4 linked regions of the Drosophila melanogaster genome follow. The protein of the gene in region 4 interacts with the protein of the main gene of each other region in a pairwise test. Each region holds a gene or a part of one and is shown on either strand. Other genes may lie near its edges. The genes, in order: CG7139, CG12496, FoxP and CG7352.

Region 1 (6,903 bases), on a different chromosome or scaffold from region 4:
AGCTTTGAAAACAGTTTGGTCCTCAGCGGTTTCATATCTGCGCTCTCTTCTAAATTGGGCAACTACACCGAAATGGGGGAAGGCAACACCAGCAACCATTGCTGGTTTGGTTCATAACTCCAGACCAGTTTGGTCATCTGCAGCAAAAAATACCCTTGCTGCCTTGATGTATGCATGCTCCAAAATATCTTCGTATTTGCGCGCTTTGGCCGGGCGCTTTATTAGTCCCACCTTTAGACGCCTCCAAAGACTACAATCTTTTAAAGGAAGCTTGAAAAATTGAAAAATTCCATATCTGGTGACTCCGCTAAAAACGCGTAGAAGGCAACTCAGACAGAGCAGCTCCGCCTCAATCTAAAGGTATATCCTGAAACATGTTTTGCTTTTTTTAATCAAGAAGCATTAAAGAAATAGGGTTAAAATAGAATCGAATACGATATGGCATACACACAAAAAAAAATTCAAATAAATAAAATTTTTATACCTTCGGACTAAAATATTGTTTTCATACTCTGCATCGGATTTGGTTATGTATATACAGCTGTGTTCAATGAAATAGCAGTGCGAAATATGAAATACAGATATTTTTCCATGTCCCTTTTCGGTATCGACTATTTATTCCACTTATTTTTGAATATGTGCCCTGTCCAGTCAGGAACTTTGAAAGCTAGAATGTTAAGAATAATTATAGCGATTATAGAGACATAGACGCAGCGCAAGTTTGTTGACCCATGTTAACACGCCCAATAAACGCCCACAAGCCGCCCAAAACTGTCCAAATTGTTAAGATATTTTTTTCATTTTTTATTTGTCTATTATAATTATATTTTATTATATTATATTTTATTATTTTTATATTATATATATATACATATATATATATTATACATATTATTATATATATTATATTATTATATACATTATATTTTAATTTTTTCGTTTTATTGTGTGTCTTGTCAATTTCCATCTGTATCAAAAACACTTTTGCCACGTCCCTCTTTACACCAGCAAAACGCCCAAAACATTCCCACTTTTAAACAATTTTAAAAAATGTTCTTAAAATTAATGAAATTTGCACACTACTAACTGAGTAAATGGTATCTCAATAAAATATGATGGCAAATGTAGAAACGAAAGACGTATTTATTTTCTTTAAACAACAATATGTCCTTGGTGCGAAATAATATACAGATAACACGATTTATTTATCGATGTTTTTCCATACAAAGATAACACACATTTCCTCAATATCGATCGATATTCCAGAAAAATTATGAAATTCGCACACTACTAACTGAGTATCTTATAGTCGGGTAACTCGACTATAGCATTCTCCCTTCTCTTCTTCTGTTCACAATTCCATTTCTATGTTATCGGAAGAAAAACTATATTTTGCTGCGTAAGCGAAACTAGAATTCGGGTGTTTAGTACCCAATTAACAGCTCTCAAAGTTCCCGAGATATTGGATTTCGTACGGACGGACGTGATAACGACGTTATAATTTCATGTTATTTTATAACATTTATCATAATCATATTAAGAATCTTATTTATGTGCTTAACATAATGTTTTCATAGTATTAAAAAAAAAAATCCAAAAACTTAGCGATTTTATTCCGAAGCAATAGCTTGGCTTGAAAAAAGCTGGCCGCCAGCACTGCTGCTTATCGATGACGCGTGACCATAGCCTCCTCCATCGATAGCCTCCGCACAGACGTGGTTTTCCCAACTTGCAATGCAGCGAATTAACGGATGTAATGCGACGCATAGCTTCCCGATTTCTGGAAACAAGCAAACGAAGTTGCAGCCCGCAGGTTGATCCTTGCATGACAACCGATTGAATGAGAGAGATTGAGACATCAACGCGCAGTTACGACATCGGGGGATTACAGTCTGGTCAGATATTGGTGAGTCCGAGATTCAGATGCGAATTGGGTGATGGGGTGTCTGTGGTTACTGCGCATTACGTTGGTCGATCCCCCCTAAACGATCTGCTTTCACAGGGCAAGCTAGCAAAAGGAAAACAAACGCCATGTCGACAGAGCGAAGCTCGCATTCAGCTGAACCAGCGGATTTGGCGCTTTTGTTGGACCGCATCAACATCAACAACAACAATAATAATAATAAGAATAATAATAATAATAATAACAACAACAACAACAACAATAATAATAATGACAATAACAATTGCGGTCGCAGCAAGAGCGGTGGAACTCACAGGAAATATGCAACTGCTGAAGCCCCAAGCTCCATTAGAATGTGCCCCGCCAGCAATCTGAACAGCAACCAAAGCAACAAACAATTTAACTCGATTTGCCAGCGGGCGCAGGCGGGCCATAAGCTGATGATCATAATGCGCGGCCCTTCAGGCAGCGGTAAGAGTACACTGGCAGAGTCTCTGCTGCGCCAGGCGCATCTACTCGATCGACACCAGGTGCGCGACTTTGTCCTGAGCTCAGACGACTACTTCAAGACGCGCCGCGGCTATGTCTTCAACCCCACTCTGCTGCCAGCTGCCCACGAGTGGAACCAGCAGCGAGTGCGCGATAAGGCCGCCTCCGGCTGGAGCCCCATCATCGTGGATAACACCAATACAATGGTCTGGGAGATGCAGCCATATGTCCAGTTCGCCGTGCGCCACGGTTACGTAATTGAGCTTCTCGAGCCCAATACTAGTTGGTGCAAGTCTGCCAGCAAACTGGCCCAGAAAAACGTCCACAACGTCCCACGGGAGAATATTCAGCGCATGCTAGAGCGATTCGAGCGGACGACTGCGGGAGAGCTCATTCAGGTAAGAAGGCACTTTAAATCGTCTATATACATACATATGTATATAAAGATAGAGATTTATTGTTAACTGCAATCTCATTGTGAGTCAGCCAAAAATGTGTAATTGTATACCCGTTACGCGAGTGTAAAACGTTTAACTAAGCTCGATAAAAAATCTTTAAGAGGTATATATTTATTCTTAATCATTATCACTGACCAATTCAATTTTGCTTCTTTGCATTTCATTATTTTTCCGGCGAACTTCCTTTGAATTGCGAAAAACATTCAGACCACCTGCAGAAACATAGTAGAGGCCTTTTTTGTTGGCTACTTAATTTTTTAGGGCATACCATGGTCAGTCAGAAAGTCGCTGGCAATCTGAGAAACAGTCGCTTTTTTGTAGCTGAGAGAAGACGGGTATCGAATATCCGAGGATCGGAATGTGGCAGTCTAGCCACATACACATACAATTTGAGGCAACTAGCTCGTTTTCATTTTTTATTGGTAAATTTTTGGTATATTACGTTCTTGGTTGTATTTTATTTTCTACCCCGAAGCTTATTAAGTAATGGCACTTACTATAGTTTGTATCTTTCACATCCTCTACCGGAATATTTTATGCGACAGTTAATGAAGGAGACAAAGTATTCTGTGGAGCTGCCGCAACTACGCAATCACCCGCCCCTTCCTGCCGTGCCTATCATCACGAGCTTTGAAGAGAGCAAGCTGCTGGAAGCCCCAGTCCCAGCGCCAGCGGAAAATGCCTTTAAGCTGAATGCTAATGCCCAAACGTGGGTGCCCTACGAGCACGGAGCGCCTTCATACTGGTCGCAAACAGTGAACTCAGTAGACACAGGCGACGCGACAGTTCCGGAAATTCCGGATGCTTTGGGTGCCGCAGCTCCCGTAAAGAGCGAATTGTCTATTATTGATCTGCTCCGCGAAGAGAACCAAATAAAGGTGGTGCCGTCGAAAGCGGAGTCTAGCGGGGCAAAGCCTCTTGAGATGCACAGCCTAGACTGCCCAAATGAACCGAAAGGGTTTGCACACCTGCGCCAGATGTATCCCAACAAACAGCTGGCCGGCCTCTGGGATCTGTTTGTAAAGTGCCAGGCCGACGTGGATTGGGCCGTTGATATTCTATTAAAGGAGGACGAGCTCAACGCGGCCACTGGTTCGGATCAAATCGGATTTGAAGAAACTATCGATAGCGAGGAGGCGGCGCAGTTTCAATGCGACTGCGACAAGGCGGTTGAAGCCCAGGAATCTCCGATTTCAACTCCCATCTGCGCCTCACCAACTTTACCAGTATCGAAGACCGAATCCAAGCCGCAACGTCAACCGCGCAACAAACGAGCATCGGCCCCCACCAACAAAGAGTTGCAACTGAAAATCCAGAATTGCTTTGTGTTAGGTAAGATATTGTTCTAATAGGAGTCAATTAAAAATAAACTTATTATTTATATTGCGTTAACACTCACGGCACTAATGAATTTAATGTATTTCCATTATATTATGTTAGAGATTCGAGTTCGATATCTGATGCTAACTAATATTAAATAACTAATAATAACTAATGATTATTGATTTTTAGGCGACGAACAATACTCGGAGCACACCCGTAAAATTCGCGATATTCGCAATGGAATCCTGGATCAACCTACAGTGCCTAAGCTACTGGAAGCACCCGAGGAACCAGAGCTTGAAGAGCAGGAGGAGGAGGAGGACCCTGAAGAAAATACTCTGCTGGAAATTGATTTGGGCGGCACTTTAATTGAGCAGCTGCGCGCTCAGTTCCACACGGAGGACGAGTTGTTGCCGCCGGAACAGGAGCTTCCCACCGCAACAAAAATATTTATGCCGCGTCAGCTAGCCAAGCAGCTTTACATGTTATGGATGGAAGCTGTGTTTAACCAGCTAGAGGAGATACGCCAGCAGACAATGCGCGATGACGAGCAGTTCGCCCGCCTGCTCAAGCATCCAGGTTACGCCGATTGCAGCGAGTCTCCGAGCAACGTGGCTGAGCTTTTGGATATGGAGTTGGCCTGGAGCATATACAATAGCGAGCAGCTGGCCGCCAAGAAGGCAGCCGAGTTGACCGCTCGCAAACAAACGCCCACCGATATAGCTACCCACCTAACCAAGATGAAGCTGTGCGAGACGTTCCCGGACGTTCCTACCGACACTGTGCTTGAGGTCTTTGCCGCAACCGGCAGCAATTACGTTCAAACAGTCGAGGTCTTGGACAGCAACGTTAAGAGTATGCTGAGCAAAGCGGAACTCTATGATAAGGCCCTTCGCGAGGGCGAAAAGCTTAGTGAGCAAATGGCGCTGGAAGAGCGGCGGCAGCAGCAGCAACAAAAGCAACATAACTCCTCCGGCCAAGGCCAGCGCTCCAGCTCCAGTTCGTACGCCTCTGGCCGGTCGCCCCAACTGCAAGAGGAGGTCAAGTGCGCCGCTCTTCGCGACTTTGAAGAGACGCGAAACATGGCCGCCCATCACTCCCAACTTAAAGCAGAGTGCTATCTAAAGGCCAAACAGGCGGTACAGCGCGGCAATAGTAGCGTGGCGTTATACTACTCGGAGATAGCCAAGTTACACAAGCAGAAGATCGACGTATTCAACCAGAGGGCGGCCAATTGCATAATGGAGGTGCATCGGCACACCCAGAACAACCCGGACCTGCTAGACCTGCATTACCTACACACGGTAGAGGCGATCAGTTGCCTGGACTTGTTCCTTGACCGCCACATAACTGTGCTGCGCAACACCACCCGCGTGTACAAGCACGTATTCATTATCACGGGCCGTGGTCTTCACAGCGCAAACGGAGTGTCCACCATTAAGAACAGGGTGAAGGCCAGGCTGGGCGAACGCCGTTTGCGGTTAGTAAGGGGCATATTTCGTTAAAAGTCGTCTAATTATTCACCAACCTATTTCAGATGGCAAGAAGTTAATCCAGGGTTGCTGCGCGTCAAGGTGTTTTCAGCATCGCGTCATTCAAAGAACTTCTGATTGGATGCGAATCGCACGACAGGACTTGCTGGACAAAATGCGTTTCACACTGCCATATAGAAAAAAAGCAAGTGTTATTTAACTTTTGTAATTGCCTACAAAATTGTAAAGTTAAGTAATCATTTTCCCCTGTCCTGGTCGCTGTTTTACTTTCGAATGTGTTCTATAACCTATGAAACATTCCCGATTTTATTACTCTATATTACTTTCAATGCTCGTCCCAATTATTTTTAAGTTTGAATAATGCTTCCAGCGTAGAGTTTGTGTACGACGCGAATTCGCAATGCGACTCAGGAAAGTAGTGATTTAGTATCTTCCAATAATATACCTAATCACAGAATTACTTATTTTTATACTAGTTTACTCAATGTACTACCTAGGTACAATAGGATTAGTGTAAAAATAGTAGTCCTAAGGTACACGAGGTCCAAAAATTACCATTACATTTCAGATTAATAAGCAAATATTGACATTTTCTTTATAAATAAATCGAAACGTGAGAAGGATATTATTCAGACAAGTTTTTAAACGAACATCGTAGTACGATATTTTATTTTTCAAACTGTTACATCGAACATTCTACAATATGTTGTAAACATACTGGCTTCGAAAATCAATTTGTACTACAAATTACGTAGTAGCAATGTATGCCTAGATCCGTCAATTAGCCATCGAACTTTCCAGTGTTTACAATAGTGGTTGGTTTAGTTCTAGGTACCGCTGATCAGTCTGTTCTATGAGCAATATAAACCTTCCTTCTGCCTACCTGGACCATCTGCCCGGCAGGGAAGAGCATAACCTTGGTTTAATGTTTGAAACATGGAAAGACGACAATCTTTATTTACCACTACAAAATCTTTTAGCCTGACATCGGAAAACGCGTGACACGAAGCTTAGGTAAACTGAAGGATCAGCCGAGGATACACATCTGGGTGTACACCTGCTGACCGCTGGGTGTGAACAATACATTCAGGTAAATGGTAACTTATTCTAGAACATCGATGGCAGTCTGAGCGAGGGCTCCATGGCTTTGGTTGGGAAGGCTGGACTGCGGTCACTAGGTGGGGTCCTTGAGTGGCGAGGGTAAATGCGGGTCAGAGACTCGCGCTCCCGGCGACTG
Region 2 (3,946 bases), on a different chromosome or scaffold from region 4:
GCCGAAAATTCAAATTGAATTTGAGAGGTTTTCGTGTGGTTCTTTATCCATTTGTGTTTCGTTGTGTCCCAAAAAAACCGCAGAAAATGCGAGGATTATGGTAATTTTGTGTGGAAATTGCCGGTGAAGACTAGCCGGGATACGCCTTGTTAGGCAGGATGCTCGTTAAATCATATTAATCAACATGCCGGAATCCTTTCTTAGCGCTGGAAACTCTCTCAAAAACCCATTTAATCCTTTTGTGCGGCTGTGTAAACAGCAATAACTCAGCGCCACAAAGAGAATCGAAGGACTCGGGGACATAACGAGGGCAAATCGAAGGGAAAAGAGGTAAAAAGTAAGCAAAAGCAGGAGCGCATTTCGCAAAGTAAACGTTGAAAAAGAGTTGAAAAGTTGAGAAATTCGCCATTTCAGTGGATGGAACGGGGTAATCGATTAACTACCCCAGCACCCTTTTTGTGTCCCTATCCAGGATGAAAGCCGATCGGAAGATAGTCACATGAAAACATATGAAACAAAACGACTTTCACCACAAAAAAGCCGAAAAGGATAACGTGCGAAATATACGATCCCCGTTAGCGAAAATCTTTCAGCAATCGATCGCAAATAAAGATATCTCCAGGGGACCAGAACCCATTCAAAGATGCCTTTACATGCTGAACTAGATCAGAACGTCAGATAGCAAGCCACGTCGGTCACGGACACTTTGAGTGATCCAAGTCCAGGAGATGACGAGCGCCGATCACTTGAACGTCACTTAGGATCGCTGGTCGATGATCACTTGAAGATCACTCAGGGATCTCGATGATCACTTCATCTACAGCTGGTCAAGAGCCACATATGGGGGCAGTTATCTTTGATCTTGTCATCGGAAATATAATCTACTTATTGGTTCCATATTTCATATTCATATGGAGGACAGCGGCTGTGCTTTAAAATATAGATCACTACAAAGGTTATGGGAACCATTTCCTTTTACATTTACATTTCAAAGTTAAATCCATACAAGTTGTGAATTTGCATTGCATGAGGCCCATCTATTTGTAGAAAGAACACTTATTAAAAAGTTGATAATTTGATAATGCATACTGTGTACAAACTTTTCCCCTGTTGGGTGAGCAACTGACGCTTTGCACAGGACTTTTCCCAGAGTTTGTAACGTTTTTCTAATGCTTCCTTCCGGAAGTGGCAAACATTTTCAATTAAAGCCGCCGAGTATATAAATTGCATTTGCGGCCGCTAAAGAGCCGCAATTAATACTGATACCGCGCTACGACAAGTGGCTAAAATGACGAGGAGCTGTCGGCCAGGAAGTTGGACTTGGCATCGGCTAATTAGCCGGCCAACCTGACTTCCCTTCTCCCTTTTCCGTTCACTATTTTCCAGCCTGTTGCTGCTCTAAATGTCCATTCAAATGAGGGGGAGACAAGGGCGAAAGGAAGCAGACTTCCTTGAGGGGAATGAAAGCAAATTTAATAACCAAGCGCTGGCCGATAGACATCTAGATGTCATTTTCGTGTGGTGGTGCTGTGGATGAGTGCCTGGATTGGAGTGGGTGATTCTCGGCCGGTACTGCGAACTGTGGGAAAGGACGAATACCTCCAATACCTCCATCAAAATATCAGATCTCGTTGGCATAGAGATCATACTTTCATATTCTAAGCTAAGCTGCTGATATCCTCGAGCTTGTTGCTCAAGTTCCTCGAGATCCAAAGACAATTTGCTACCACACACATCCGTTGGCCAAAGAGAGTCTTTTCATCCAAGGAGAGAACGCCGGAGAGAGCGAGTGTCCTTCTGCCCGCCGGGGTGCCTCTTGCGCAACAACCCCTAGCCCCGTAACCCCTAGCCATTAACCCCTGAGCGCCGAGCGGGTATAAAACGCAGCCCGCTCCCCGTACCGCTTCAGTTTGTCAGCGAGAGCGGTCGAGAGCAGAAGACTAGCAGAGTCTAGAAGTACATCTTTTTTTTTTGTGCACCAGGAGCAGCAGAAACAGAACCACACACAACATGCTGAAGTGGACGGCATCGGCGCAGCGCCTGAACGAGATTCCCGTGCACGATCAGGATGCCAACCAGCCGCAGAGGAGGAGGCTGCAGAGGAGGCAGCGCCGTCAGCGGAGGGCCACCATTGCCAACAAGGAGAACGTGCCTGACACCGTGGGCTACACCTCCACGCCAGTGCCCATTACCCGGCTGCGCAACAGTCCCCTGGTCCTGGCGCCGCTGAGCGATATCCGGAATGTCACCCCGGAGGCGGTGGTGCGCAGTCAGGCGCCCCAAAGGGTACAGAGTGTGCGATACGCCACCACATTGCCACGTTTTGCCGAGGACTACTCGCCCAACGGACTGCCCAGTGGTCAGCACTTGGCGCTGAGGGGCCTGGCTCCGTTGGATCCCTTTCTGGGCCAGCCGCGCTATATTGTAGGCTCGGGTGCAGGAGTTAACAAACTCAAGCAGCGTAGACTGGACGAGGACTTTGTGGCCACCTTGGAGCCGGAGTTGCAGGAGACGGCAGTGCCAGAGCCACCCACCCCCAAGGTGGAAGTGCGTCCAAGCACACCGCAGCCCGCCTCCACGCAGATGGGTGATCAGACCTTGGATCGCCTAATCGATGCCATCTTGGATTCCGCCTGCAAGGCGAACGCCAGCAGCAAGAAGAAGCCGAGAAGGTCCACCTTCAATCTGCGCAGACGCACCTTGGTCAAGCAGCAAATGGAGTCGAACTGCCCCCAGGAGGTGCTGTCGCCATCCTACGCACCTGGAGACGATCCGGCCTCGGATCTGAGCTTTGGCCTGGTTCCCCTGCCCATGCACAACCTGATGCCCACTCCGGAACCGGCATCGCCCCTGGCCAAGATTCCTCACAACTTGCTTGTCCAACTGGCCACTCCAGTGGCCCCCAAGTCTGCCCCCTGCGACAACACCTTCTGCCTGGAGACTCCAGTCAAGGCCCTGAAGAGGACCCGCAAGGAGATCGTCGCCAAGGAGTCCCCCATTAAGCGCTACAAGGTCGACGAGCGCAATTACTTCGAGGTGGGATTGGCCCTGCCCTCGTCTATATATGTCTGAGCAGAGGTAATTTCAAACAGATCCTCGGAAAGCCACAAAAATGAGAAGAGAAACTAAATGCGAGATGGAGATGAAGATGGAGACGAGAAAGCGAGCAACGCTGACAAACGGGGGGAAAACGCTTAACTATGACGCTTAACTAGTTCCTAAGTCGTAAACTAATCATCTTTCAATTACTGTACATAATTTCTTAGGCCACCTTAATCACTATTTATTCCAATTACTAATATAACCATTTTTTTTTTTGCTGCTGTTATGTAGTTTTCGAATATACCTTTTTTTTCATTATTTAATTTTAAACAAATATGAATATTTATTGCTACTTTAAGTTACCCAAATAATTATTTTTTCAAAATAAAAGCATTAAATCAAAAACAATGGAGTACACTTTTCTTTTCTTTTGAAACGGGGAAAACTTTATATATCAGCTTATCATCATTAATGTCGCTTTTTTGAGTAACTTTGGCTACTTCCATGCGTACTGCCCAATATAGGGATATGGGATTGTATTGATTTCAAAATGGTGATATTTGAAAAAGACTAGACTATCTTCATAGTCTAGAAATGTTTTCTCATGTATCCATTGGAATCTACTCTTTAAATGTTAGGTTTATAGTTGGTTTCTGAACTATTTTCGAGATACGAACAAATATCATTTTTGTTGTGCCATAGCATCGCATCGAGTTTTCTGATGAATGCGAAACATCTGCGGTGACCTTCGTCACCTACGCAATATCCCAGCTCGTGCCGATTGCATTTTGACCTGCCGATACGTACAACATATATTTACACAGTTGCTTGACCAAGCGATTTGCTTTGCTTTTCCAGGCGACCAAAACAAACAACGGCGATGCAGGTTGGGAACTGGGAATAA
Region 3 (7,520 bases), 1.4 Mb from region 4:
TTGCAAGTGATTAATTAATGGTTTTAAAAAATATAACTGCTTGTAAACTATTATCTTAAATGAATACCCAAGAACTTACAGCGATCAAAATTGTTTGTAGCATATGGTCCAAATCACAGATTTGCAACCGGAAGTCCAAAGTTAAATTTTAGAATTACCCAAATTTACAGCGACATGAGTCACATTATTATAAACTCTGTTCCAGAGGGAATGCATTTCGGTTCACATTGGCCAAGCTGGTGTCCAGATCGGCAATGCCTGCTGGGAACTTTACTGCCTGGAGCACGGCATCCAGCCCGATGGCCATATGCCCTCCGATAAAACCGTGGGCGGAGGCGATGACTCCTTCAGCACCTTCTTCAGCGAGACTGGAGCTGGTAAGCATGTGCCGCGTGCCGTGTTCGTGGATCTGGAGCCCACTGTGGTGGATGAGGTGCGGACAGGAACCTACCGCCAGCTGTTCCATCCGGAGCAACTGATCACCGGTAAGGAGGATGCGGCCAACAACTATGCCCGCGGCCACTATACCATCGGTAAGGAGATCGTCGACGTGGTCCTGGACAGGATTCGCAAGTTGGCGGATCAGTGCACGGGTCTGCAGGGATTCCTGGTCTTCCACTCCTTCGGCGGCGGCACTGGCTCTGGATTTACGTCGCTGCTGATGGAGCGCCTGTCCGTGGACTATGGAAAGAAGTCAAAGCTGGAGTTCTCCATTTACCCAGCACCACAAGTATGTCATTTGCATATGGATATTATATCTATTGCTTGAGCATTTATAGAAGACCAATTAACATAATTAGTAAAAGACATGGGAAATTAGTCTTCGAAAGGCAATCTAATAATCGAACTTCCTGTTAGGTGTCCACAGCTGTGGTCGAGCCATACAACTCGATCTTAACCACCCACACAACGCTGGAGCACTCGGACTGTGCGTTTATGGTTGACAACGAGGCAATCTACGACATCTGCCGGCGCAACTTGGATATCGAGCGACCCACCTACATGAATCTCAATCGCCTAATTGGCCAGATCGTTTCCTCCATTACGGCCTCGTTGCGCTTCGATGGCGCCCTGAATGTGGATCTGACCGAGTTCCAGACCAATTTGGTGCCCTACCCACGCATTCATTTCCCACTGGCGACATACGCTCCCGTCATTTCCGTGGAGAAGGCCTACCATGAGCAACTGACCGTGGCCGAGATCACCAATGCCTGCTTCGAGCCGGCCAACCAGATGGTCAAGTGTGATCCGCGTCGTGGCAAGTACATGGCCTGCTGCATGCTCTACCGCGGTGATGTGGTGCCCAAGGATGTGAACGCAGCCATTGCCACCATCAAGACCAAGCGCTCTATCCAGTTCGTCGACTGGTGTCCCACGGGCTTCAAGGTGGGCATCAACTATCAGCCACCCACCGTTGTTCCTGGCGGAGATCTGGCCAAGGTGCAGCGCGCCGTCTGCATGCTGTCCAATACCACTGCCATTGCCGAGGCCTGGGCCCGTCTGGATCACAAGTTCGATCTGATGTACGCCAAGAGGGCCTTCGTCCACTGGTACGTGGGTGAGGGCATGGAGGAGGGCGAGTTCGCCGAGGCTCGCGAGGATCTCGCTGCCCTCGAGAAGGACTACGAGGAGGTAGGCATCGACTCCACCACCGAACTGGGGGAAGATGAGGAATACTAGAGAAAACGTTGTCAACAAATGATACAGCCATTACAACTTTATAAACATCACTTTCTTTCTACCAAATACCAATGCATAAAACAGTTTCGCAATAAAACAGTTTAACACAATTGCTTAAAATGGCTTATTTAAATGGGAAATATTCGTCTTTAGATGGAATTTAACTTTTGTGTTAATAAGAATAAAACTTTCTCATATAAGGAAATTGGTAAATCATATATTTATTGGAAATTACCCCTCCGTAAAAAACCCTACTTATCACTTTCTTATTGCTTTAAATATTAATATTAATTGGGCAAATTAATGTTGACTTTTAAAAGTTTTTAATTTTTGAAATCGTTACGTGTAATGGAGCCTTAGGATGCATTTTGAAACGCATGCGCAAAAATGTGTACACATATTTCTAGCAAATTCAGTAGTCGTAGACGTACCTTTTCAGGAGTAGCAGCGAAAAATATTCTTAAGATAGTTTTTAAGTTTAAATTAATTTTACATATATGTGAAAAGTTGTATTAAAAAATTCGCCCGTTATTAAATATAATATTGTTCTTTGGAAACCTCTGTGAATGTTATTTAATTGTAAATGTACATGCAAAATTGTATCCTCTTTTGTCTGCAAAATTGTATGTGCATGTATGTATTCGCAAAATTTAAGTCTAGTCTGTTAAGTTAATTAAGATATTGTTGAGTAGTCTAGGCAGACAACTTTATCTTAAAAGTCCCAGTTTAAACAGTTCTTATACAGAAATTGTATGATATGTATACATATGAAATATGAATATTTTATTTACCCATATATACCCCTTGGAATAATCAATGCCCCCAACGAATACAGACAATGCAAATCTACACAATACCAACAATATATTTATCTTTATTCGCCTTTACACAAAAAGCTTATGTATATCGAATATAATACTATTTTTTCAGGATCTTCGAATGTGATGAAAACCATACCTCTCTCTTCTCTTTTATATCTTTCTTCTTTTCCTATAAAACATTTAATACTTACATATTTCACCATTTACATTTATTCTTATTTTAGGTGGCTATATAATTTTTCATTACAGGAATTTGATTAAAACAATCGTAAGATGGTCCTATCTGCAAAACTCATATACTCTTCCATTTAAGTTCATCCTATAGCCAAAACGTCCGTCCGTTTTTATATCCGTTTGTCCGTCCGTTTGTATGTCCTTCCGTTTGTATGTCCGTTTGTCCGTCCGTTTGTCCGTCCGTTTGTCCGTCCGTTTGTCCGTCCGTTTGTCCGTCCGTTTGTCCGTCCGTTTGTATGTCCTTCCGTTTGTCCGACCGTTCCGTCTGTATGTTTCTTATGTTATGTATGTTGTATATGTTTCTTTTTAGCAAAATAAGATGTGTCTGGTTTCCTTGCCACCTATGCAATCCCCTTGTGAGATCTTAAACTTGTTATACGCCTAAATATGATAAATGCTTTCTATGAATAACCTTTATATTTACAGATTAACTGCACCGGATGACGTGGCATTTTATTTGTAACATATTTAAAATTAAATCAAACATTTAAAGAATGTTTAATTTAATTTACACTGAATTCATTTAGCACTGGGCCTTTAGTAGGGGTTAAATCTTATATGCGCCAAGTTGTTAAATATTCATAACTTTTGGGGAAAGTATCATCTCAATGATAGTGCGGGAAAATTAAGCTGAAATTAAATAGGGCGTAATAAATAGAAATCCTTAAACTATCACTCTGATTCGGAGTTTTACAGGAATGGCGGCATATGAGTAAAGATAGTTTTATTGAAATGACTCCTAATGACAGACGAAAAAGAGATTATTTCTGTGTATTTGCATATGCCCATCTCTTGGGTAAAGGATCAATGGTAATGATTATAAATTTCAGTTTTAAAAACATGCATCGGATACATGACGACGAGTATTCCGAGGATGCCAAGGAATCGGACTTTAAGAGTTCGATTCAGAAGGAGATATCAGTGAAGTCGAGACACCAAATTTCCATACCAGACATATGCTCAGATGCTGTTAAGAACAATTGTTTTCCGCCGACTGGCTTTCTCAATAACTCGATCACCTTTGCCTCACATGTAGTTAAGTGCAGCTCACCGGCCTCGAGCATCGATGAATCCTCAACGGCGGCCCAGCAGCACGAATCCAATCCACACATGCATATACAGGGTCAGCATATGATGGCTCCCGTTCCCGATCTGGGTTTCTACAATGTGCCCGAGTTCATATCCGAGCAGGAGAAGCTCATGTTCTCCGATGCAGAGAGATTCTTGCGGTCGAAGGATAATGAGGTGTGCAACAATGATTTCAGCTATATGCACGATGAGTTCGCCATGCGGAAGTACTATCATCCGTTATTTGCTCATGGCATATGCCGTTGGCCTGGTTGCGAAATGGATTTGGAAGACATCACATCGTTTGTCAAGTAGGTGGAGTACAATTAGAGGTATGAAATAATTATATAGGGTATGTTATCTAACTAGGCATCTGAATACGGAACATGGTTTGGACGATCGATCAACAGCACAGGCACGGGTTCAAATGCAAGTTGTCTCCCAGCTGGAATCCCACCTGCAAAAAGAACGAGATCGCTTGCAGGCAATGATGCATCACTTGTATTTGTCCAAGCAGCTTTTGTCTCCCACCAAAATCGACAGGAAGGTAAGTCCCTTTTTATGTGAGTAAGTATTGGTATAATGAAAAGTTATAAATATAAGGACGTGCCCGGAAGAGAGGGAAAGTTTTGCCGGAGTCCGCTTACCGTAAATAGCATAGGCCGACCCATCCGACAAACAAATTCACCGAGTCCTCTGAATCTTCCAATGGTTAATTCCACCAACTTGTGCTCGATCAAAAAGAGAAACCACGACAAAAATACATTTTCCATAAATGGGGGTAAGTTTGGGAAAAATTTACTATTACTGTATAAAAATAATAATGGTTTTTGGATATAGGATTACCCTATATGCTTGAAAGAGCAGGTCTTGATGTGCAACAGGGTAAGTAAATTATGTAGACTGATCGTCTTGATGACTATTCGTCTTGTGCTTCTGGAAGACATATAATAAGAATTTAAATTTGCAGAAATCCATCGAAACAGAGAGTTTTATAAGAATGCTGATGTACGACCGCCTTTTACTTATGCTTCCCTCATAAGACAGGTAATTTTAAAAACCAATTTCCTAATATAACATTAATTTATTTTTTTTATATATATTTTATTTATAGGCTATAATTGACTCCCCTGACAAGCAGTTAACCCTAAACGAAATCTACAACTGGTTCCAAAACACATTTTGCTACTTCCGGCGCAACGCAGCTACGTGGAAGGTAAAATGCCCCATATATGTAAATCTTCTTTCCTCCATATTATCTATATATTATGCAACATAACTTTAATTTGAGTATTTATGCTATATGATATGATATCTATGATCTGATATGACCATTTGTCCGTCCGTATAACTCTCGTTTGTCCGATTGGCGTTCCTAGCTTGTCCGCTGTATATATACTATATACTACCTTTTCCACATTGTCCACTACTTTGCCAATATTTAAGAGTATAATAGAGCTAAATACAAGTGATATATAACAAGGTAAGCTACACAGGTCAGATCCTGTTTTATTCCATTTCCTTTTTATATGTCTTAAAATAATCAAATTAAGTTTGGCCTATGCTAACTGATAATATATATCATTAGAACGCAGTCCGGCACAATCTGTCCCTTCATAAGTGCTTTATGCGGGTTGAGAATGTGAAAGGAGCAGTTTGGACTGTCGATGAGATTGAGTTTTACAAAAGACGACCGCAGCGCACTGCTGGCATTGGTAACAATCTAACCGGTGCTACCAATTCGCCGGACACTAACTATTTTGTAGCCATGAACATTGGGTATGTGGGTCTCAAATAGTTTAATTCTACTCACTTTGCTCCAAACTCCTTCCGTTTTGCTCTGTTAGTAAATATACATATGCCATTGCATGCATGCTCCTATATCGAAATGATATAATATGACATTATACGATCTTTTTACAGCGCAAATTGTAAACAGTGATTCTAATCTCTTAGTGGTAGAAACCCAAAATGATGTCCGTCTGCTCATCGATCTGTCTGTCTGTCTGTCTGGAATTTAGCTGATGAAGATTATCCAGGATTTCGCGTGTTATGAAAAATGAAAATAAGAAGACCGAAGACAAATGAACTAACCTTAATATCTCAATGAACTTTTTCTTCCTTTCACGATAATGCAATTTCCTGTTTCTGACTCTTGATGGGGCTCTTGTTTTGTCCAACCAATCATAAAGAATGCGATTCGTACGAACCTTTCCTTACACAAGTGCTTTGTACGTTATGAAGATGACTTTGGCTCGTTTTGGATGGTCGACGATAATGAGTTTGTCAAAAGGCGGCACTTGTCGAGAGGGAGACCCCGGAAATATGAACCGTCCTCCTCCCCAAATTCATGCCAATCCGGCAATGGTGTGCCCACTGATAAGAATCCCTGCGACAATTGTACGCAACATTGCACTAGTTTGCCACCGGGTGCTGATAATCCTCTAGATTCCAATAATCCAAATGATTTAGGCAGAATTGGTTGTCTTCCCTATTGCGGTAGTGATGGTTTAAGTAAAGCGTCCAAGGACTATAGCAATATGGACTCGGGTATGATCGAAAGTAACAGCCACTTGACAATCGATGAATATTCTACTAATATGTACGAGAGTAGTGCCAATGAGCACAATCGATAAATAATATATCATTAACTATACATATATTTAGATGCATTGTCGAGTAATCTGCGTTTGGTAAGAAGGTTCGGATTCGGAAATTATATCTGTACATACACATGGTTCTATGTATAATTTCCCAAATAGAAATGAAAAAATACTTTTAAAATAAATTTCACTAATGCTATAAAATAAACGAAAGAACTACGTTAAATTATTAAAGCAAAATTAATGTGTTTAAACTTGCTTTAATAACTCCACTTATAACACGATTTTAATATACGAGTACAACATATATGAATATTTTCACTTTTCAGCAAGGGAGAAAACATTTAAAAGCTATAGCTTGATAAAATTTTAACAAAACTGTTTTAAAAGTCACAATATGATTTTTTTTTAAGGAAACTATTTTCAGGTATACCTTCTGTTAAAAATCTGGACCCTTGAGAGCTTTAGATTTGGAAACTCCTTAGTAAACGTATATGCTTTTCTGCTGACTTATCTAATTTCCTTCTAATTTAAGATCATTAACGATACTCAGTGACCTAAATAAATTCCTCAAATATACAACAAAGTGAACAAACTGAATTTTATTTCTAGTTCCTAAGCAAACGGTTTACGCGACGTAAAAGCGGTTAAATCGGCTTCTCAAAAGTTTGTCAATCAAAGTTTTCTACCAATTCATTATTTTAAAGCGGTCTTTAGTATATTTTAGTATATTCTATTGGAGATTTTTTGGACTGCCACTATTTAAGGAAAAACAACCGATAAGAATGGACGCATTCGTGAACTTCTGTATCTTAAATTTAATAAAATATATACAGCCTAAGTACACATATTGTAGTCAATGTCAATTTAATTTGAAAGTAAAGTTTTTGTTTACCAATAAATTTGTTTGGAGAATGTATCGATACCGTCGAATTTTCCGGCAACCATCGATACAGTCGGGCGGCATCGGTTTTCGTCCCAGCTCTAGCCAGTACGGTCACTCTGAAAGTCTCTCAACGTTTTGTGACATGAAAATTCAACGAGGACACTGTGTACATGAATAGTTGAAAAATTAAAATGGTTTCCATGCAATTTGTTTTGCAACCGCTACCGG
Region 4 (4,035 bases):
CGTCGCGCACTCTGCGTTCTAGGCACTGCTAAACGTGGTCAAAACTAGCCCGGGCATTTTGCCAAAACACTGTCATTTGTGCAACGCCCTTTCACTGCGATTCCGTGTTATTGTTTGTACGCAAGATCACTCCCGTTAACATAAAATAAAACCAGACCAGCGTCAGCTAGCACTCGCGATAGTATCGATAGTCCGATAATGGGCGTGTTAGGGATGTCTTGGTTTCGATATTGCTCGGTACCACTGATTTCGAAAAGAAGCTATTCACACACACGAGCTTCTGCACCAGCGACAAGCTTCCGCAGCACTGGCTTTATCTTTTATAAAAAGATATATATTGGTATACCAGTCAAAATAAACGTATATCTAAACATGTATTTTATGAAAGTTATGTTTTTTGAATGCAATTAGTAAGATGCAAAGAAATAGTTAGTAGTCAATTTGATATAAAATTTCAATTACAGATAACATTTATAGTATTTTTGATTGGACTGCATAAACACTTTCGCGGCAATTATGAAGCGGTTATTAGGCCGAGCTTTCAAAATAATATTAAACCAAATTGAAACAGCAGATGCGCATTCTGTGAGAATATCCTTTCAATCGAGGTTTCCAATCGAGCAAAACAACGAACTGGCAGCACAGGCGACGGTCTGGCATCTTCGCTAGCCTAAATGATACACGTCACGTAGACACAACGGCGCTTAATTTTAAATAATTTATTTTTGGAAGCCAAAAATAAACTTGACCGTCTTAGAATTACAATTTGGAACTATGCCACTGACTAGGAATCGCCACCGCCCCGTGCCTGAGCGTCAATTAGGCAGAAATGCTCCCTATCCGTAGACTTAAGGACATGCTTTGGTAGATATCGAAGCACGGAGGAAGGAACCTGGCTCAACATGGCCAAACGCTCCTGTTTGATGCGTTCCTCTTGCTCGGCATCGATCTTGGCCTTCATGTCAAAGTACTGAACATTTTCAGCGGTGGCCTCCGCCCGCTTCCGGTGATTATCCTCAATCATAGCAAGCAAGGAGGCTCCATGGGCCCGGCGTCTGCGATATTCATCCAGTTGCTTTTCGGAATTCTGGTTGATTGTATCCGGCGCCTCCTCCTGCCGCGTAGCCATCTCCGCCCGCTTCATCTGCATTTCGGCCATCTTACGATGCTTCACCTCCTGTCGATAGCGATCCAACTCCTGTCTGGTGCGCTGGCGAGACATCTGCTCCTGCTGCATCTGTTGGCGATAGCGCTCGTCACTCTTGGCCGTGTACTCCGCCTCCAACAGATCCAGCAGCAGATTGTCGCGATGCCGTTTTTTGTTCTGCAATAAGAGTTAGCTTTATTGATTGAATCGAAAAACCGCTTCAAGACTTACTTCGATTTCTAGGACTTGCTGGCCCAAACGAATGCTGATTTCTTGTTTTTTGCGTTGAATCTCCTGGCGTTCAGCCTCCAGCTGGAGTTTCCTGCGCTCCATGTCACTTTGCTTCTGGACTAAGTCACTCAACTCCTGGTTGTATTGAGCTCGCTGCCATTCTCTGAGTTCCTGGTTCTCCTTGATGGACCGCAGCATGTCCTGTCGCTTTTGTAGTTTTTTTCTCTGCGCCTCCAGCTCCTGGGCTCGATCCTCTTCCTGGATTTGCTTCTGCATCAGAAGGCTCAGCTCCCGGTCATTCATCACCTGAGCGTGCTCTTGCAGGCGCCGTCGGCGGTTCTCCTCCATTTGTTCAGCCAAGGACTCCCTAAGGCGGCGTTGTTCCTCCTTAAGAGCCACTTCCTTCTCACGTTGCCTGACCTCCAGCAGACAGCGCTCTTGGGACACTTCCGCGGCTTCCAATTTGATGTCTAGCTGTCGACGACGTTTTTTCTCCTCCAAATTCTCGGCTATATCCCTGGAAATGGCGGCTAGGCGCAGCTGCTCCGCCAAGTCGCGCAGTTCCTCGCAATCCCGCCGCAATTGCTGGCGACGTTTCCTCTCCACAAACTCCGCACGCTTAAGATCTTGCATTTCCTGCGTCATCGCTGCCTCCTCGATGAAGTCGCGGGTTATGGGACTCACTTTGGAAAGCTCCTGGCTGCGGCTCACCTCCTCCAGGTCGTACTGCAATTTTCGGAACAGCTGTGAGCTGAAAAAGTCGTGCTCCTTGCGCAATGAATGAGGCACCTGGAATAGCGGCTGTCCGATGTTGATAGTGCCACCTTCCTTGTGGTTACCACGATTTCTACCGGTTGCCATGGTGGTCAAAACAATGCAAACAGAAATGGAAACGAGAAACAAAATAAAAAAAAAAAAACCAATATTTATCGACTGGCTACTATGAAAACATTCAATGAACAAATTGTAGTATTTGATTTTATATTTACATTCTTAATTGTGGAGCTATTATGAGCAATATACATTTGGTCGCAATATATGTATGTACATACAAGCAATTAAATTCAGGTCCTTTGTCAATATTTTCGGTGAATGGCAAAAACGATCTTAAAATCACCATTCACTACGAAAGTTTTACTATAAAAGCAATTTAAAATTTAAAATTGTTGGTCATTAGATGACTATATATATTTTTATATATTTTTTTTCAAAATCATAGTTAACAAATTGAATTGATAATGAAGGCGAAAATGTTAAATGCGAAATGTTCTCAGTTGTTGAAGGCAGTCGGGAAATACTTCTTGTCCTTCTCCACGATGCTCTCCAGAAGATCGTCGATGTCAGTGTTGGGGTAGCGCTCCACCCATGACTGGATGTACCCCTCGTGGGTGGGCTCGTAGGTCTTCAGCTGGACCTTTTGGTCCTGGCCGATCGCCGTGTTGGCCTGGACGAGAATCATACGCGGCTTCTTGTGCGCCAGGCAGATATCCCGCCACTTGGCCCACGGATGCGATCCGCTCTCGTCGACCTTCGAGTAGTGTTCGTACATCTTGGAAGCTGCCTCGATGTCGGCGGTGGATTTGTACACCTGCAGCTTGGTCAGGAAATCGCCCAGCGCCTTCCTGCCCACGGTATCGATCTTGCTGCGATCCACCGTCAGCAAAAGGTTTTTACCCTTTTCGGTTTCCTCGACCTTAACGAGTCCTTCGCCTGCCTCCAGCAGCACCTTCATGATCACGAAACGAGCGCGAGAGTGCGCCTGGAGCCACAGCTTGGACTTCGGGTTGAACATTTCCAGAGCCACACCCATGCCGTTCCAGATGAGACTCAGCCAGTTGACATAGATGATGTTGTCCTGCTCGGCTTTGTCCTTGAAGCCAAAGATCTCCAGGATGTCACGCTGCAGGGAGAGATACAAGCCCACCGCCTCGGCGCGGCATTCCTCGTACGAGGAACCAATTGCTCCGAACTTGGTGTCGTAAGTTTCTCCAGGAAGATACCACTTGGTGATGGGTTCACCGGTGACCAGGTTCTTAGTGTTCTCCTTGTCAAAGTTGTACACACCATTTTCGTCGATGCGGAATAGCTTGCCACTACCATGGCCTAGGAGTTCATGGAGGCCCACTTGCACCTCAAAAGCCTTCACCTTGTACTCTTTCATCAGAGTTTGATCCTCCTCGGTGAGGAAAGGAATGGGATCCTTGCGGTTGATGTTGGCCAGCACATTGCCCAGCGAGACGTTCTTGAAGCCTTCATCCTGGCGGATTTCGTCGTAATTGGGAATATTGATGCCCGCTGGTACTCCGCTGCCGGCAAATGTGAGGACATCCAGGGATGTGAAGTCTGGCTTCAGGTAAGAGTCCTTCTCGTAAGGCTCCGTCCAGGGCAGGTACTCTATTAGTTTCTCGGCGCGGTTCACCAGCTCGGAGAATTTGGCCGAGCTCTCCTTGTTCACCATGGCCACGAAGCCCTCGAATTCAGCCCGACCTCCAGCAGGATCCCTGTATGTCTCAATGAAACCAATGTAGGTCTCGATGACAGGTCCCTTGTCCTTGATCCACCAACGCGATCCGTTCTTGTGCTCGTCCAGCGAGCCCTGTTCAAAGGATCGGACATAGTGCTCGATCATCTTGGACTCGTTTTCATTGGCTGCGTAT

What was found.
Region 1: the proteins of CG7352 (region 4) and CG7139 interact in a two-hybrid assay, tested with the Drosophila melanogaster proteins (one large-scale study listed by BioGRID).
Region 2: the proteins of CG7352 (region 4) and CG12496 interact in a two-hybrid assay, tested with the Drosophila melanogaster proteins (one large-scale study listed by BioGRID).
Region 3: the proteins of CG7352 (region 4) and FoxP interact in a two-hybrid assay, tested with the Drosophila melanogaster proteins (one large-scale study listed by BioGRID).

Annotation. Positions count from the first base shown.
Region 1 is NT_037436.4:22,066,655-22,073,557, reverse strand, and holds CG7139 (uncharacterized protein), read left to right. Parts: upstream 1-1,709; 5' UTR 1,710-1,906; intron 1,907-2,002; 5' UTR 2,003-2,031; coding exon 2,032-2,790; intron 2,791-3,395; coding exon 3,396-4,182; intron 4,183-4,362; coding exon 4,363-5,653; intron 5,654-5,710; coding exon 5,711-5,783; 3' UTR 5,784-6,288; downstream 6,289-6,903. Other genes in the region: CG7133 (uncharacterized protein), read left to right, coding at 1-283; CG14561 (uncharacterized protein), read right to left, coding at 6,841-6,903.
Region 2 is NC_004354.4:2,408,861-2,412,806, reverse strand, and holds CG12496 (uncharacterized protein), read left to right. Parts: upstream 1-1,905; 5' UTR 1,906-2,010; coding exon 2,011-3,072; 3' UTR 3,073-3,442; downstream 3,443-3,946.
Region 3 is NT_033777.3:9,725,489-9,733,008, reverse strand, and holds FoxP (forkhead box P), read left to right. Parts: upstream 1-2,136; 5' UTR 2,137-3,575; coding exon 3,576-4,114; intron 4,115-4,172; coding exon 4,173-4,350; intron 4,351-4,406; coding exon 4,407-4,584; intron 4,585-4,643; coding exon 4,644-4,688; intron 4,689-4,773; coding exon 4,774-4,850; intron 4,851-4,917; coding exon 4,918-5,019; coding exon of another isoform or gene 5,020-5,082; exon of another isoform or gene 5,083-5,391; coding exon of another isoform or gene 5,392-5,601; exon of another isoform or gene 5,602-5,858; intron 5,859-5,995; coding exon 5,996-6,439; 3' UTR 6,440-6,989; downstream 6,990-7,520. Other genes in the region: alphaTub85E (alpha-Tubulin at 85E), read left to right, coding at 206-730, 859-1,680; hyd (hyperplastic discs), read left to right, coding at 7,484-7,520.
Region 4 is NT_033777.3:8,345,968-8,350,002, reverse strand, and holds CG7352 (uncharacterized protein), read right to left. Parts: upstream 2,285-4,035; 5' UTR 2,240-2,284; coding exon 1,379-2,239; intron 1,325-1,378; coding exon 785-1,324; 3' UTR 707-784; downstream 1-706. Other genes in the region: DppIII (dipeptidyl aminopeptidase III), read right to left, coding at 2,649-4,035.